Linked DNA regions of Sus scrofa. Each later gene encodes a partner of the first gene's protein in a complex. Links are inferred from orthologs where the notes say so. Each region holds a gene or a part of one and is shown on either strand. Other genes may lie near its edges.

The links.
Region 2: POLR2E (region 1) and ERCC2 share a complex: the UniProt entries of both Homo sapiens proteins name them as parts of the TBP-based Pol II pre-initiation complex. The link is inferred for Sus scrofa from reciprocal best matches to the Homo sapiens genes POLR2E and ERCC2.

The regions. Positions count from the first base shown.
Region 1 is NC_010444.4:77,328,347-77,335,482, reverse strand, and holds the start of POLR2E (DNA-directed RNA polymerases I, II, and III subunit RPABC1), read right to left. Parts: upstream 4,729-7,136; 5' UTR 4,598-4,728; coding exon 4,541-4,597; intron 3,204-4,540; coding exon 3,029-3,203; intron 1-3,028. UniProt on the Homo sapiens protein: DNA-dependent RNA polymerase catalyzes the transcription of DNA into RNA using the four ribonucleoside triphosphates as substrates.
Region 2 is NC_010448.4:51,742,531-51,748,988, forward strand, and holds part of ERCC2 (TFIIH basal transcription factor complex helicase XPD subunit), read right to left. Parts: intron 4,008-6,458; coding exon 3,891-4,007; intron 3,804-3,890; coding exon 3,687-3,803; intron 3,361-3,686; coding exon 3,237-3,360; intron 3,141-3,236; coding exon 3,044-3,140; intron 2,926-3,043; coding exon 2,792-2,925; intron 2,698-2,791; coding exon 2,529-2,697; intron 851-2,528; coding exon 732-850; intron 1-731. UniProt on the Homo sapiens protein: ATP-dependent 5'-3' DNA helicase. Component of the general transcription and DNA repair factor IIH (TFIIH) core complex, not absolutely essential for minimal transcription in vitro.

The sequences.
Region 1 (7,136 bases):
TGGCTCAGTGGTTAATGAACCCGACTAGCACCCAGGAGGATGCAGGTTTGATCCCTGGCCTCGCTCAGCAGGTTAAGGAGACAGCTTGCCATTAGCTGTGGTGTAGGTTGCAAATGTGGCTTGAATCCCATGTTGCTGTGGCGTAGGCCAGCAGCTGCAGCTCTGACTCACCCCCAACCTGGGAACTTCCATATGCTGCAGGTGCAGGCCAGAAAAGCAAAAAAAAAGAAGAAGAAAAAGAAAATATGTAGTAAGGTAACAGCCAAAAACATCCCAAACATGGGAAAGGAATCACTCAAATCCAGAAAGCACAGTAAGTATCATATAAAATAAACCCAGAGTTCCCATTGTGGCTCAGCAGAAATGAACCTGACTAGTATCCATGAGGATGCGGGTTCGATCCCTGGCCTCACTCAGTGGGCTAAGAATCTGGTGTTGCTGGGAGTTCCCGTCGTGGCACAGTGGATAACAAATCCGACTAGGAACCATGAGGTTGCAGGTTCGATCCCTGGCCTTGCTCAGTGGGTTAAGGATCCAGCATTGCTGTGAGCTGTGGTGTAGCTAGCCTGGGAACCTCCATATGCTGCGGGAGCGGCCCTAGAAAAGGCAAAAAGACAAAAAAAAAAAAAAAAAAAGAATCTGGTGTTGCTGTGAGCTGTGGTGCAGGCTGCAGATGTAGCTTGGATCCCATGTTGCTGTGGTTGTGGCGTAGGCAGGCAGCTGCAGCTCTGATTTGACCCCTAGCCTGGGAACTTCCACACTGCAGGTGTGGCTCTAAAAAAGCAAATAAATAAATAGCATAAACAAACCCAAGGAGGAACACACTAAGACACATATTTATCAAACTGACCAAAATTAAAGACAAAGAGAAAATACTGATAGCAGCTAGGGCAAAGATACAAACAACACACGAGGGAACCCTGATAAGGTTATGGGCAGATTTTTCAGCAGAAACTCTATAGGCCCCAAGGGAATGGCACAATATACTTAAAGCAATGAAAGGAAAAAATCTCCAACCAAGATAACTCTACCCAGCAAGGCTCTCATTCAGATTTGAAGAAGCTTTATAGACAAGCAAAACCTAAAAGAATTCAGCACCACTAAACCAGTTTTACAAAAAATACTAAAGAAACTTCTTAGAGTTCCCGTCGTGGCACAGTGGTTAATGAATCCGACTAGGAACCATGAGGTTGCAGCTTGTGAGTTCGATCCCTGGCCTTGCTCAGTGGGTTAAGGATCCGGCATTGCCGTGAGCTGTGGTGTAGGTCGCAGACGAGGCTCGGATCCCACCTTGCTGTGGTTCTGGTGTAGGCCGGCGGCTACAGCTCCTATTAGACCCTTAGCCTGGGAACCTCCATATGCCATGAGAAGCAGCCCTAGGAAAGGGGGAAAAAAAAAAAGAAACTTCTCTAGGTGGAAAAGAAAAGGCCGCAACCAGAAACAAAAATATCACAAATGACAAGGCTCACCGGTAATGGCATACATACAGTAAGGGTAGGAAATTATCCACACACAAATATGCTTCCAAAATCAGAAACTGTGGGAAGAGGAGGGTACAAATGCAAGATATTGGAGATGCACTTGCAATTATGGGTCCAACAACTTAAAACAATCTTTTATACATAGACTCTTATATCAAAATTTCATGGTAACTGCAAACCAAAATTCTACAATAGATACTTATAAGAAAAAGGAGTCCAAACACAACACTAAAGATAGTCATCAGAGCTCCTGTCGTGGCTCAGTGGTTAACGAATATGACAAGGAACCATGAGGTTACGGGTTCGATCCCTGGCCTTGCTTAGTGGGTTAAGGATCCGGCATTGCTGTGAGCTGTGGTGTAGGTTGCAGACGCGGCTCGGATCCCCCGTTGCTGTGGCTCTGGTGGAGAAGGTGGCTATAGCTCTTATTAGACCCCTAGCCTGGGAACCTCCATATGCCGTGGGAACAGCCCAAAAAAATGGCAAAAAGACAAAAAAAAAAAAAAAAAAAAAAGAGTTATCAAGCCACAAGAGAAGGTAAGAAAAAAGACAAAAAACCCAAGCCCAAAACAGTTAATAAAATGGCAATAAGAACACATATATCGGAGTTCCCGTCGAGGCTCAGAGGTTAACGAACCTGACTAGTATCCTTGAGGACACAGGTTTGATCCCTAGCCTTGTTCAGTAGGTTAAGGATCTGGCATTGCCGTGAGCTGTGGTGTAGATCACAAGATTCAGCTCAGACCCTGCACTGCTGTGGCTGTGGCATAGCTCTCACTCAACCCCTAGCCTGGGACTCTCCATAAACCGCGGGCGGGGCCCTAAAAAAGCAAAAAGAAATAATGTCATTTGCAGTAACATGGATGGACCCAGAGATTATCATATTAAGTAACCTAAATGAAGTAACACAAATACTACATGGTATCACTTATATGTGGAAGATAAGACATAACACAAATGAGCTGTGAAACAGAAAGACACATAGAAAACAGATTTGTGGTTGCCAACGGGGAGGGGACTGAGGGATTTTGGGATTAGCAAGCACAAACTCTTTTTTTTTCTTTCATGGATCCTAGTCGGGTTCATTAACCACTGAGCCACAAAGAGAACTCTCAGATGCAAACTCTTATATGCATACGGTGGATATACAACAAGGTCCTACTGTACAGCACAGAAAACTATATTCAATATCCTATAATAAACCATAACGGAAAAGAATTTGAAAAAGAATAATTATGTGCATGTAACTGAATCGCTTTACGATACACCAGAAAAGAACATAACATTGTAAAACATAATTCAATAAAGTAAATCTTAAAAGTGCCCTCTGGGTCTGCTCAGCAGGCATTTTCTGCACTCTCCCTTGCCTGGAGGCACACCAGGGTGGGCCCCCAAGGTGCTTGTGACCCAGCATGGTCCCCTACCTTTGGGGTTGAGAGCCAGGCTGCCTCAGTGGAGGCACTACATACAGCAGAGAGGCAGAAGGATGAGGGGTACAGACTGCGTGTCAGGGCAGGTGGCTGCTGCTGCCCTGAGCAGGCCCTCACCTGGGAAGAAGACGAACATCTGGTCGGTGGGGTCGTCATTATGGGCCACCAGCACCGTGAGGTCTGTGCGACGCGGCCGCCCTTCACTGGGCTTGTCCCCAAACTGGGCCTTGAACTCCTCCAGCGTCTGGTCCAGCTCGTCCTGGGTCACCAGGTAGCCACGGTCGTGGCAAAGCTGCAGAGAAAAAGAATCAGGTGACCAAGGTGCAGAGAGAACAGCAAAGGCTCAGGGTGCTCAAGGCCACTGCAGGGAAGATGGGAGCAGGGCTGGGATGTGAGGAGGGCTGTTGATTCCAAGGCCAGGCCCTTGGGTCTGGGGCAGAAAAGGACAGCTGTCTGGGAGAGGTGCTGCTGGGCTGCCTGGGGCAGAAGGCTATTGGAAAACCAGGCCAAGGCCTGGGGGCCAGCAGATCTAGGTCCTGACTCAGAAACTGGGATTCTTTGAGTGGACAGACCGGATGACCACCCAGACAAAGAGAAAGCCACCCACTCTGCCGGAATCCCCTTTCTTCAGCCAAGTACCCCACAGCTGGACTCTCCCTCTTTTTTTTTTTTTCCTCCCTTTTTGCCATTTCTTGGGCCGCTCCCACGGCATATGGAGGTTCCCAGGCTAGGAGTCTAAACCGAGCTGTAGCCACCAGCCTACACCAGAGCCACAGCAACGCAGGATTCCAGCCAAGTCTGTGACCTACACCACAGCTCACTGCAACGCCGGATCCTTAACCCACTGAGCAAGGCCAGGGATCGAACCCGCAACCTCATGGTTCCTAGTTGGATTTGTTAACCACTGAGCCACAACAGGAACTCCCGGACTCTCCCTCTTGAGCGCTCACTCTTCTCACCCAGGGCCCGCGACACGGTCAGCCTGAAGCAACGCTGTTCCTACCCTGTCTTTGGGTAGCACTGCAAGGAGGTGGAGAATATGGGTGCCACTGCCCCAGCTTAGTCCAGGCAGGATCCCCGCCGTGGCGAGGGTGGGTGGTCTTAGTCAAGGCCCGAAGCCTCCGTGGGATCACAATCGCCCCCTCCCGTGGAGTAGCCTAAAGCACGTGGCACACAGAGAACGCTTAGCTAGGGAGCTGGCATGACTTGGAGCCTATCAGCCCGAGTAGCTCAAAGTTGGTGGCCAGGGCGCGCTGTCAGGGCAACCAGACAGCATTGAGACCAGCTAACCAGGGATCCTTCCATATCCACAATCCTGGAATACTGTATCAGGCCCTCAAAACAGTGCCATAACTTTCCGGAAAGAGGAACACGCGAGGCCAATTCCCTCCCTCCAGCTCCAGCGAAACCCTGACCCTCTCCCCGGCGTCTCTCGGACTCGCCACTCAGCAGTGGTCGGCGGGGCCCCTCTGTCCCCGGCCCAATACGGGCCCCACCTGGGCCAGAACCTTCCCCTGAGCCGCGCGGCCAGACATAGAAAAGCTCGTTCCCATCTTCGGGCCTCGCGCTGGCCGTCCGCGCGCCGGACAGCGTTCGCTTAGTACTAAGGGCAGCCCCCGCGCGTCTCACCTGCATGATGGTCTTACGGATCTTCCAGAGCCGGTATGTCTCCTCCTCGTCGTCCATGGCTGCCGCCCCCCTCGAACTTACAGCGCCTGCGCTCGGCAAGACCCGTGCCCACTGCGCCTGCGCCGCGCCGCTGTCAGGCCCCCTCCACCTCGCCCAACCCTTACAGGGCTGTAGTCAGCTAAAGCCTGAATGCAGCGACCTTTGGGAGGGGCAGAGCCAAGGGCAGCCCGAGCCTTACTAAAGCGGCGGTTGGCTGCGCGAAAAGAGGGCAAACACCACTCACCCGCTCCTCGGTAGATCTCGCGTGGTTTTGAATGCAAGGCCTCTCTGGAGGCGTAGTTTCTGCTCAACGCCCGCCTAGGGAGGACGTTTAGAATCCAGCGAGGCAGATTCTTAGCAACATGGATGGACGTAGAAACTATCATGCTAAGTGAAGTCAGCCATACAATGAGACACCAACATCAAATGCTTTCACTGACATGTGGAATCTGAAAAAAGGACAGACTGAACTTCTTTGCAGAACAGATGCTGACTCACAGACATTGAAAAACTTATGGTCTCCAGAGGAGACAGTTTAGGGGGTGGGGGGATGTAATTGGGCTGTGGGATGGAAATCCTGTGAAATCAGATTGTTATGATCATTATACAACTACAGATGTGATAAATTCATTTGAGTAATAAAAAAAAATTAAGGGGAAAAAAAAAATCCAGCGAGGCAGGAGTTCCAGCTGTGGGGCAGCGAACTAAGGATCCGTCGTTGTCCCTGCAGTGACTGGGGTCGCTCGCTGCGGAGGCGCGGGTTCGATCCCAGGCCCAGTGGGTTAAGGATCCAGCGTTGCCACAGCTGTAGCACAGATCACTCTTGCGGCTTGGATTCAGTCCCTGGCCTGGGAACTTTCATATGCTGAGGGGGTGCAGCAAAAAAAAAAAAAAAAATTCAGGTAGGCAGAAGCAAGGGGAGACTGAGGCCTTGACAGGGTCTTGGGTACGCTCGGTTCCCAGGATGTTCGTACTTACTAAGAGATGGTTCGTAGGTGTTTGTGTGATCAACTGCAGGGAGTTTTCTCAGTTGACTCAGGGCCATGTCCAACTTAATGCCCTAGATCCTCAGTTATCCACTTTGTACAGTGGAAATAATAAAGTGTCCCCGTCTTAGAGGATTAGCTGAGGACCTAAAGGGATTGTTAGCTTGGGAGGAGCTTGGCATAGCTCCCACTGCTTATGAAATGCACTCATCTCTGTTTTCCTAGTCCCCTGAGGCCCACCCCAGCCCCTGGATACCCCACAGCCCCCAAGATTGTGCATGTTTTTACAACCTCCACATCTGCCCACACACACACATACACCACCCCGGTTCATACAGGAGGTTTGCCCAGCCCAGTGCCCCTGTGTCAGTGGAGGCCATCAGTAACTTCTCACTCGGTAATACATTTATTCAATGATTCAATATTTATTTATTTATTTGTCTTTTGTCTTTTTTTTAGGGCTGCACCTGCAGCATATGGAGATTCCCAGGCTAGGGGTCTAATCAGAGCTGTAGCCACTGCCTACGCCAGAGCTACAGCAACACCAGAATCTGAGCCGTGTCTGCGACCCCCACCACAACTCCCGGCAATGCTGGATCCTCAACCCACTGAACAAGGCCAAGGATCAAACCCTCAACCTCATGGTTCCTAGTCGGATTTGTTTCTGCTGCACCACAATGGGAACTCCTAATGATTCAATATTTTATGAGCACCCACAGGGATGTGGAACAAAACAGGCAAGCATCTTTACATACCAGGGAGACACAGGACATAAAGTGAACATAGGAGTTCTCGTGTGGCCCAGTAGGTTAATGACCTGGTGTTGTCACTGAAGTAGCTTGGGTTATTGCTTTGGCATGGATTTGATCCCTAGCCCAGGAACTTCCATGTGCCATGGGCGGGCCAAAAAAAAAAAAAAAAAAAAAAAAAAAAAAAAAAAAAAAAAAAGTGAACACAAGTAAATGAAAAAAGGGGACAAGAGAGTGGGCTGAAGGAGAAGGTAGGTTTGAAGTCTCAAATGTGGTCAAGGAAGTTTCATGTAAAAGCCCAAAGCAGGAGAGGGAGGGAGCTGTGGGCATGTCTGGAGGAAGGTGTGTCAAGCAGAGGGTACAGTGTGTGCAAGGGCCCTGAGGCTGGACTTTGGCTGGTGTGTTGGCAGCAAGGATGCCTATGCCGGGGGACAGGGAGAAGAGGAAGTCAGAGGGTGACATGGGGCAGATCCTGGGAGGCCGTGTTTGTTGGGTTGAAAAGTTTGGGTTTGCAGCCATTTTCAGCATCTCAGCAGAGCAGATACAAGGAGACCAGGGAGGGGCAGGGGAGGGCAGGTCCAGGCAGCACTCACAGATCTGCAGATGGATGGGATGTGGAGATGAGAGACACAGAGGGGAACAGAGGAGGGAAAAAGGGACTGCGGTGGGGAGGCGTAGGTGTAAGCTTGGGGCTCCCATGGGCCCTAAGGAGAGAAACGGGTAGTTCAGTGGGACATGAGCCTGGAATTCAGTGTGAGCTTGGAGTGGAGACAAATGTGGGGGTTGTGGGCACATGGTGGATACTGGAGCTGGCAGCTGGAT
Region 2 (6,458 bases), on another chromosome or scaffold:
ACGCAGCAGGCGGCTTCCAGGGGACTTGCCGCTGATCGACCTTGGGATAGGGGGACGGCCGTCACCCCCCGCCAAGGCCCTGCCCAGACCGGCTGGCCGCAGGGCGCTGGCAGGCCTGACCTAGTTTCCTGGACACAGGAGTAATCCCCGGGGATTAGGCTGAGCCCCTGGCCAGCTTAAAGCTGAGGAAGGCGAGGCAATGCTGAGCGACGAAGCCTCTGCGACGCTGCCCTGCTCTCTGCAAGCTGGCAACCTGAGCACCAGCCTCCCGGCCTCTTTACCTCCCAGGTCTCTCTCCAGCCCCGCATCTTCTCTCCTCCCGCCCTGGCCCAGCTCTGCCAGAGGAATCATTCCAAAGCACCAAGTGACCCTGCCTCTCCCCTGCATGGCACCTGCTGTGGCTCCTCAATGCCCTTGGGAGCAGACGGACCAGCTCCTTACCATGCCCCCCAGGGCCAGCTGACCCCACAGAACTTCTCTGGCCTCATGTCACGCCACCACCCGCCCCACCCTTCTTCACCCTGCAGCCAGAGAGGAGCTTGAAAAACACAAATCTGAGCACAAGGCTCGCTCACTCAAGAACTGTCTGTAGCTCCCTATTGCCCTCAAAATAAAGCGCAAACTCCGGAGCCCAGCCCTACAAGGTCCTGCTCGTCCAAGTCCCACGGGCAACCCCACGGAGATCCCGATTCCAGCTGCCGGGGCCGGCAGAGGCAGGAAGGGGCGCTTACCCTTGGCATAGGTGCTGACTAGGGTGGCAAAGTTGGCGAGGAGCGTGAGAGGGGAGAAGTCAGCAAGGTCCGCGATCTCCAAGGTGTGCAGCAGGGAGCGCAGGCGCTCGGCGCAGAATCTGGAGGGGGGGTGGGGGGGTGGAGGATGGGGTGAGGGGCGACAGTGACCAGCTCAGGCACATCCAGCAGCCCCCTCCCCTCCAGCAGAGCACGGGCCCAGGTGCCATCTCCCCAGCTGCCCGAAGTTCCATGAGGGCGGGGCCTGGGTCTGCTTCAGTCCCCTCTGTGTCCCCCACATCCCACAGGGCCACGGCCATACGAGGGCACATTCGGAGCAATAATCACACAGCTCAGAGTCACAGGGTCACGTCACAGGGGGCCACATGCTCATGAGCAGGTTCTTGGTCAGAAGGGGCAACCCACAAGCACGCCCAGAATCCCACAGTCACTGCACGAACCCCACACGGCCACATCACCATTTGCTCCCTCCCAGGTCCTCTCTCAGTGTCTCAGCCACGCTCGCCACCCTCAGCGACACAGCGTGAGAGTCCCACACACTCGGGAGACAATCTCACACACACTCCCGGAGCTTCGCACACACTGTGTCCAGCAACAGCCCGTACACAACACAGGGCCACTCAAGGCTCTCACCCTTCAGGGAGAGGCTGTGGAGCAGCAGCACGGCTTTGGTGTCAGGCAGACAGTCAGGTTTAAAACCCGCTTCCTGAACCTCCTTTCCTTTCCTCCACGGTCGACCAGGTGCCCCTCTATGTTCCCTGGGCCCCCAGGCCTCCCCCCATCCCAGCCCTGGCACGTCCCTCTCTCACTGGACTGTGAACCCCAGGAAGGCAGGGCCAGGGCTGTCTCAGTCCCCACCGTGTCCCAGCAGATCAGGCACTCAGGACCATGCAGGCGGCGAAGCTCCCCGCAGCCCTCACAAGTCTCCCACGGCAGGGTGAAAGGTGAGGCCCCATCGAGGGCTCCCCGCCCAACCTCAGGCAGAGCAGCCAGGAACTCCGGAGCCCCACAGGCCTGGCTTCGAGTCACAGCTACCCCCACAGTGCTGTGTGGCCCTGGGCACTGGCTTCCCCTCCCTGGGACACAGTGTCCCCATCCACAGCGCGAGGCGAGGACGCTATTGAGATCCCACGGATACGGAATGTAGCTTAGCTCATTGTCAGCACTCAAGATGCTAAGTTCCTGGCGTGGCTGCTTTCTCACCTAACCAACCACCTCAGGAACCTGGGAGTAAGGGGCTGACTCCCTGCCTGGGGCACAAAGGAGGAGACCAAGGTTCAGGGAAGACCACTGACTCAGGCAGAACAGCAAAGGAAAAGCCCAGGAAGCCCCACCCCCACTCCCGGGTCCATGCACCACCTCCCTGACCACTGAGGGGAGGCTCCTGCCCCCGGGGCTTGGGGGACAGTGGGAGGCGACAGGGGTCTGGGGGGCAGGATCCACAGCATTTTCTGCCAGCTCCCACCCTGCTGGGCCCATCAGAAGCCGCTCTCCAGGGCTACTCCCTCCCCTCCCCGTGTGGCCTGGGGTGGGATGAGTTTCCGCAAAGGTGCAGGGGCCTGGTCACCCCACCAGCTCCTCCATCCTGCACGGCCCCCGGGACCCCCGTGAACAGTCCACCAAACTCTCCTCTGCCTCTCATCTGCTGCCCGCCAAGCCCCTGCTGGCCCCAGAGCCCCCGACCTGCCCCCTCCGCCCCACGGGTGTGACACGCACTCCCCCAGGCTTCCATTAGTCCCCATACCGGCCCCGGGCCCACCCCCACCCTGCTGGACGAACCTGAGGGGCTTGCGCTGGATGCAGACGCGCTGGGCCAGGCCGCTGAGGAAGGCGGGCGGGCTCTCCTGCACCACGTGCTGCACCCGCAGCCGCCACTTGACGTACTCCAGCAGCCGCCGCAGGAAGCCCAGGAAGTGCTCGGCCGTGCGGATGGAGCCCGGCACCGCCTCTGCGGGGACACGGGCTCAGCCGGGTCGGTGGCGGGGAGGGGGGGTGCCAGGGGCCCAGCGGGGCGGGCGCGGGCACAGAGGCGGGGGGCTCACCCTGCAGCACCTCGTCGGGCAGCACGGGGTTGGCCAGGTGGGCGTCGGTCTCCCGGGCGGCGCTGGCCTCCCGCAGCCCCTCCACCAGGCGCCGGTACTCGTCCCGCAGACGCTGCTCGTCAGTCTCCTTGATCCTGCGGGGAGCCGGGGGATGGGAAGGGCTGGGGACACGCCGGGGACGGGGACCGGGGTCCTGGGGTGGGGGGCAGGGCAGGCAGAGAACCGGGCCTGGGAAAGGCCGGCGCCCCGCACCTGAGCACCGTCTTCTGCAGGGTCTCCAGGTTGCCCTGGCACCGATCCAGCATCCGGCGCGTGAGGTTGACACTCATGGAGTCGATGCAGACGTTGTCTGGAAGAGGAAGGAGGGGACGCCGGGCTCAGGCAGGCAGCTGGGGCGGCAGCCCAAGGGGCTGGCATGGCCTCCCAGCCCTGGCTCCCTCCTCACCAATGTTGTGGGCCTCGTCGAAGACGACGACAGCCTTGCGGGCCAGCTCCTTGGACACCAGGTCGGCGATCTTGGGGTCCAGCAGGTAGTGGTAGCTGTAAACCACCACGTTGGCGTGGAGGATCTGGGGGCCGGGAGTGCAGGGTTACCCCGGCCACCAGCGCCCACCTCGTGCTACTGCCCCCCGCCCACAGCACACGGCCCCAGTGCTGCCTGACAGGCCCGCAGAGACGAGGTGCAGAAAGGGGCTCAGGCAGACAGACAGACAGACACAGATGGGCAGGCAGAAGCGAACTGAGGAAAGACAGACACAGGCAAGGCACACACACTCAGAGAGACTGACTGACAAAGGGACAGACCGACAGGGGGACACAGGCAGAGGGACAGGTGGGTGGGAAGGCGTAACCCGCACGCACGCCCCCCCTGCGCAAGCCCTGCCAGCCTCCTCACCGAGTACCGGGCAAGGAAGTACGGGCACCAGCCCTGGCGCCGCCCCAGCGCCTTCAGGTCGTCCAGGTTGTAGATGCCAGCCGGCAGGGGCACCTGGCGCCCATGGACATCAAACTCCTAGGGTGACAGGGCACACAGGAGTCAGGGAGGTTGGCCGTGGTGAGTGGTCCCCGCCTCCCTCCCTCAGCGCTGCCCCGCAGGCACCTCATAGAAGCGGCAGTGAGGCAGGCTGGGGTCCTGCTGGTACTGCGCCCGCACGTAGGAGGCCGTGAGGCTGTGGCATTTTCCATCGACGTCCTTCCCAAAGCGCAGGGGTGTCACCTGAGGGGCCAAGAGGGCATCTTAGCACTGGGACAGGCCAAGGAGCCCAACCACTCCTGGAACCTGGGGCTCAACACCTAATGGCTAAGGCGGGATGGGGCCATCTGGCTGTCCTGTCCCGGGTGACACTGGGGCATCCGTGGAAACTGGAACCTCAACCTGCTTCCCTAGTAAACAGTTAAGACACCTGGAAACTTACTACAGGGAAGCAAGAGTTGGTACAATTGTTAGGCTCTTAAATTATTCTTTTTAAAACAGTAAGTCCAGAATTCCCATTGTGGGTGTTAAGAACCCGACTAGTATCCATGAGGATGTGGGTTCAATCCCTGGCCTCGCTCAGTGGGTTAAGAATCCAGTGTTGCAGTATAGATTGCAGATTCAGCTCGGATCTGGCATTGCTGTGGCTGTGGCACAGGGTAGCGGCTGCAGCTCCAATTCAACCCCTAGCCAGGAATGTATGCCACAGGTGTGGTCCTAAAAAGCAAACAAAAACAGTATGTCTTAGGGAGCTCCCTCGTGGTCTAGTGGTTAGGGTTTGGTGCTTTCACTGCAGCCTGGGTTCAATACCTGGTCTGGGAACTAAGATCCCTCATCAAGCTGCTCCACACAATGATCAAAAAAAAAAAAAAAAAAAAAAAAGTTAAGTCACATATGGTGTCAATTATATCTGAATTTTTTTTTCTTAATTACACCTTGAAGATTCTTTAGCAGGTAAATTACAGATAACTGCTTTATCTTTTTTCTTTTTAGGGCTGTACCCAAGGCACATGGAAGCTCCAAGGCTGGGGTCAAAGTGGAACTGTAGCTGCTGGTCTACACCACAGCCACAGCAACACAGGATCCGAGCTGTACCTTCGAACTACACCACAGCTGATGGCAATGCTGGATCCTTAACCCACTGAGCGGGGCCAGGGATCGAACCCACATCCTCATGGATACTAGTCGGGATTATTACTGTTGCACCACTATGGGAATTTCTGCTTTATCTTTTAAAATGCTAAAACAGCCAGAACCTTAGCAAGGTCCAAGAATCAGAGGAAGCTGCTCTCCCCTGCAAGGCTCTGCTGGTAGCACCGTCACAGCCCAGGGCTGCCTTTCCTCAGAACCAAATCTTTTTCCTCACCAAAGGGAAGGCTCTGAGGCTGGCAACACCTCCCTCTCCTTTTCCCATTTCATCAGGCGCCAAGGAACATTCCTCATTTTTTAACATGCCTTTACACTTTTTAAAAAACAGGTCATGCAAATACATCGTACGAGGTATACAAAGTTAAAAGTGTCATAGAGTTGCTAGCGGGTTATGGATCTGGTGTTGTCACTGCAGTGGCATGGGTTTGACCCCTGGCCTGAGAACTTCTGCATGCCCTGGGTATGGGGAGTGGGGGGGAAAGCATCACATATGTTCCCACAGAAAAGTATTTTAAAACCCTGAAAATTTTAGCTGCGTGTGAAGCAGAGCCCCAAAGGCAGATCTATTTTGAAGAGCTAAATCCAAGCGAAGACTACCAGGCATATGCTTTTAAGTCCTTCCAAAGCAGCAGCCATGGGAGGATCAAAACCCAGATCGAAATACCTGCTCAATCTTTAGCATTATCCAAGGTCACTGTACATCTCGGGAGACGACTAAGATCCTGCCCTGAAGCACAGCTCATGCGGTTCAATATGTATACACGCTGTACGCTATATGCATACATATGATACCAACACAGCAATTAACAGTACTATATTAACATATTAATATAACACTATTGATTATTAACATATATTAACATAGTATTGCTTATGCACTTTTTCCCCCCACGGCATGCAGAAGTTCTTGGGTCAGAGATCAAACCCAATCCACAGCAGGGACCTGAGCTACAGCAGTGACAATGCCAGGTCCTTAACTGCTAGGCCACCTGGGAACTCCTGCTTATACACGTCTTATCACAGGTCCAGAAGATACAATCCACTTCCTTAATCCTCTACTTCTTATTTTCCTAAGGAGGACAGTGTCGACCACCACGTGAGCAGGTTCTGGACACACACATACATCCACTTCCTACATTTAAAGCCATTAATTTCAACTTCGGTTTATTTTTTATTTTTGATTTTACTAATATTGAGAAACTCCACTAAACTGTTATCACTAGTTATGGTGAAACTAAAAAATGTTAGGTTATGTGCTTCCCATCATGAAAGTGTCTTGTTGCCATTTTCAGGGACCTTAAAGACATCCCCGTCTTGAAGGCTCGTGACACGGCTCTCCTATTGCCGGCATTTACTAAATTTCTGCAGAAACACATTCAGGTAAGCAGATTCATTGACCAGCTTAACTTCAGTTTAAAGGAAAGGATCTTGGGGAGTTCTGTAACAAACCAGAGTGGCATCATGAGGACGCGGGGTCAATCCCTGGCCTCGCTCAGTGGGTTAGGGATCTGGCGTTGCCGTGGGCTGTGGTGTAGGTCGCAGCTG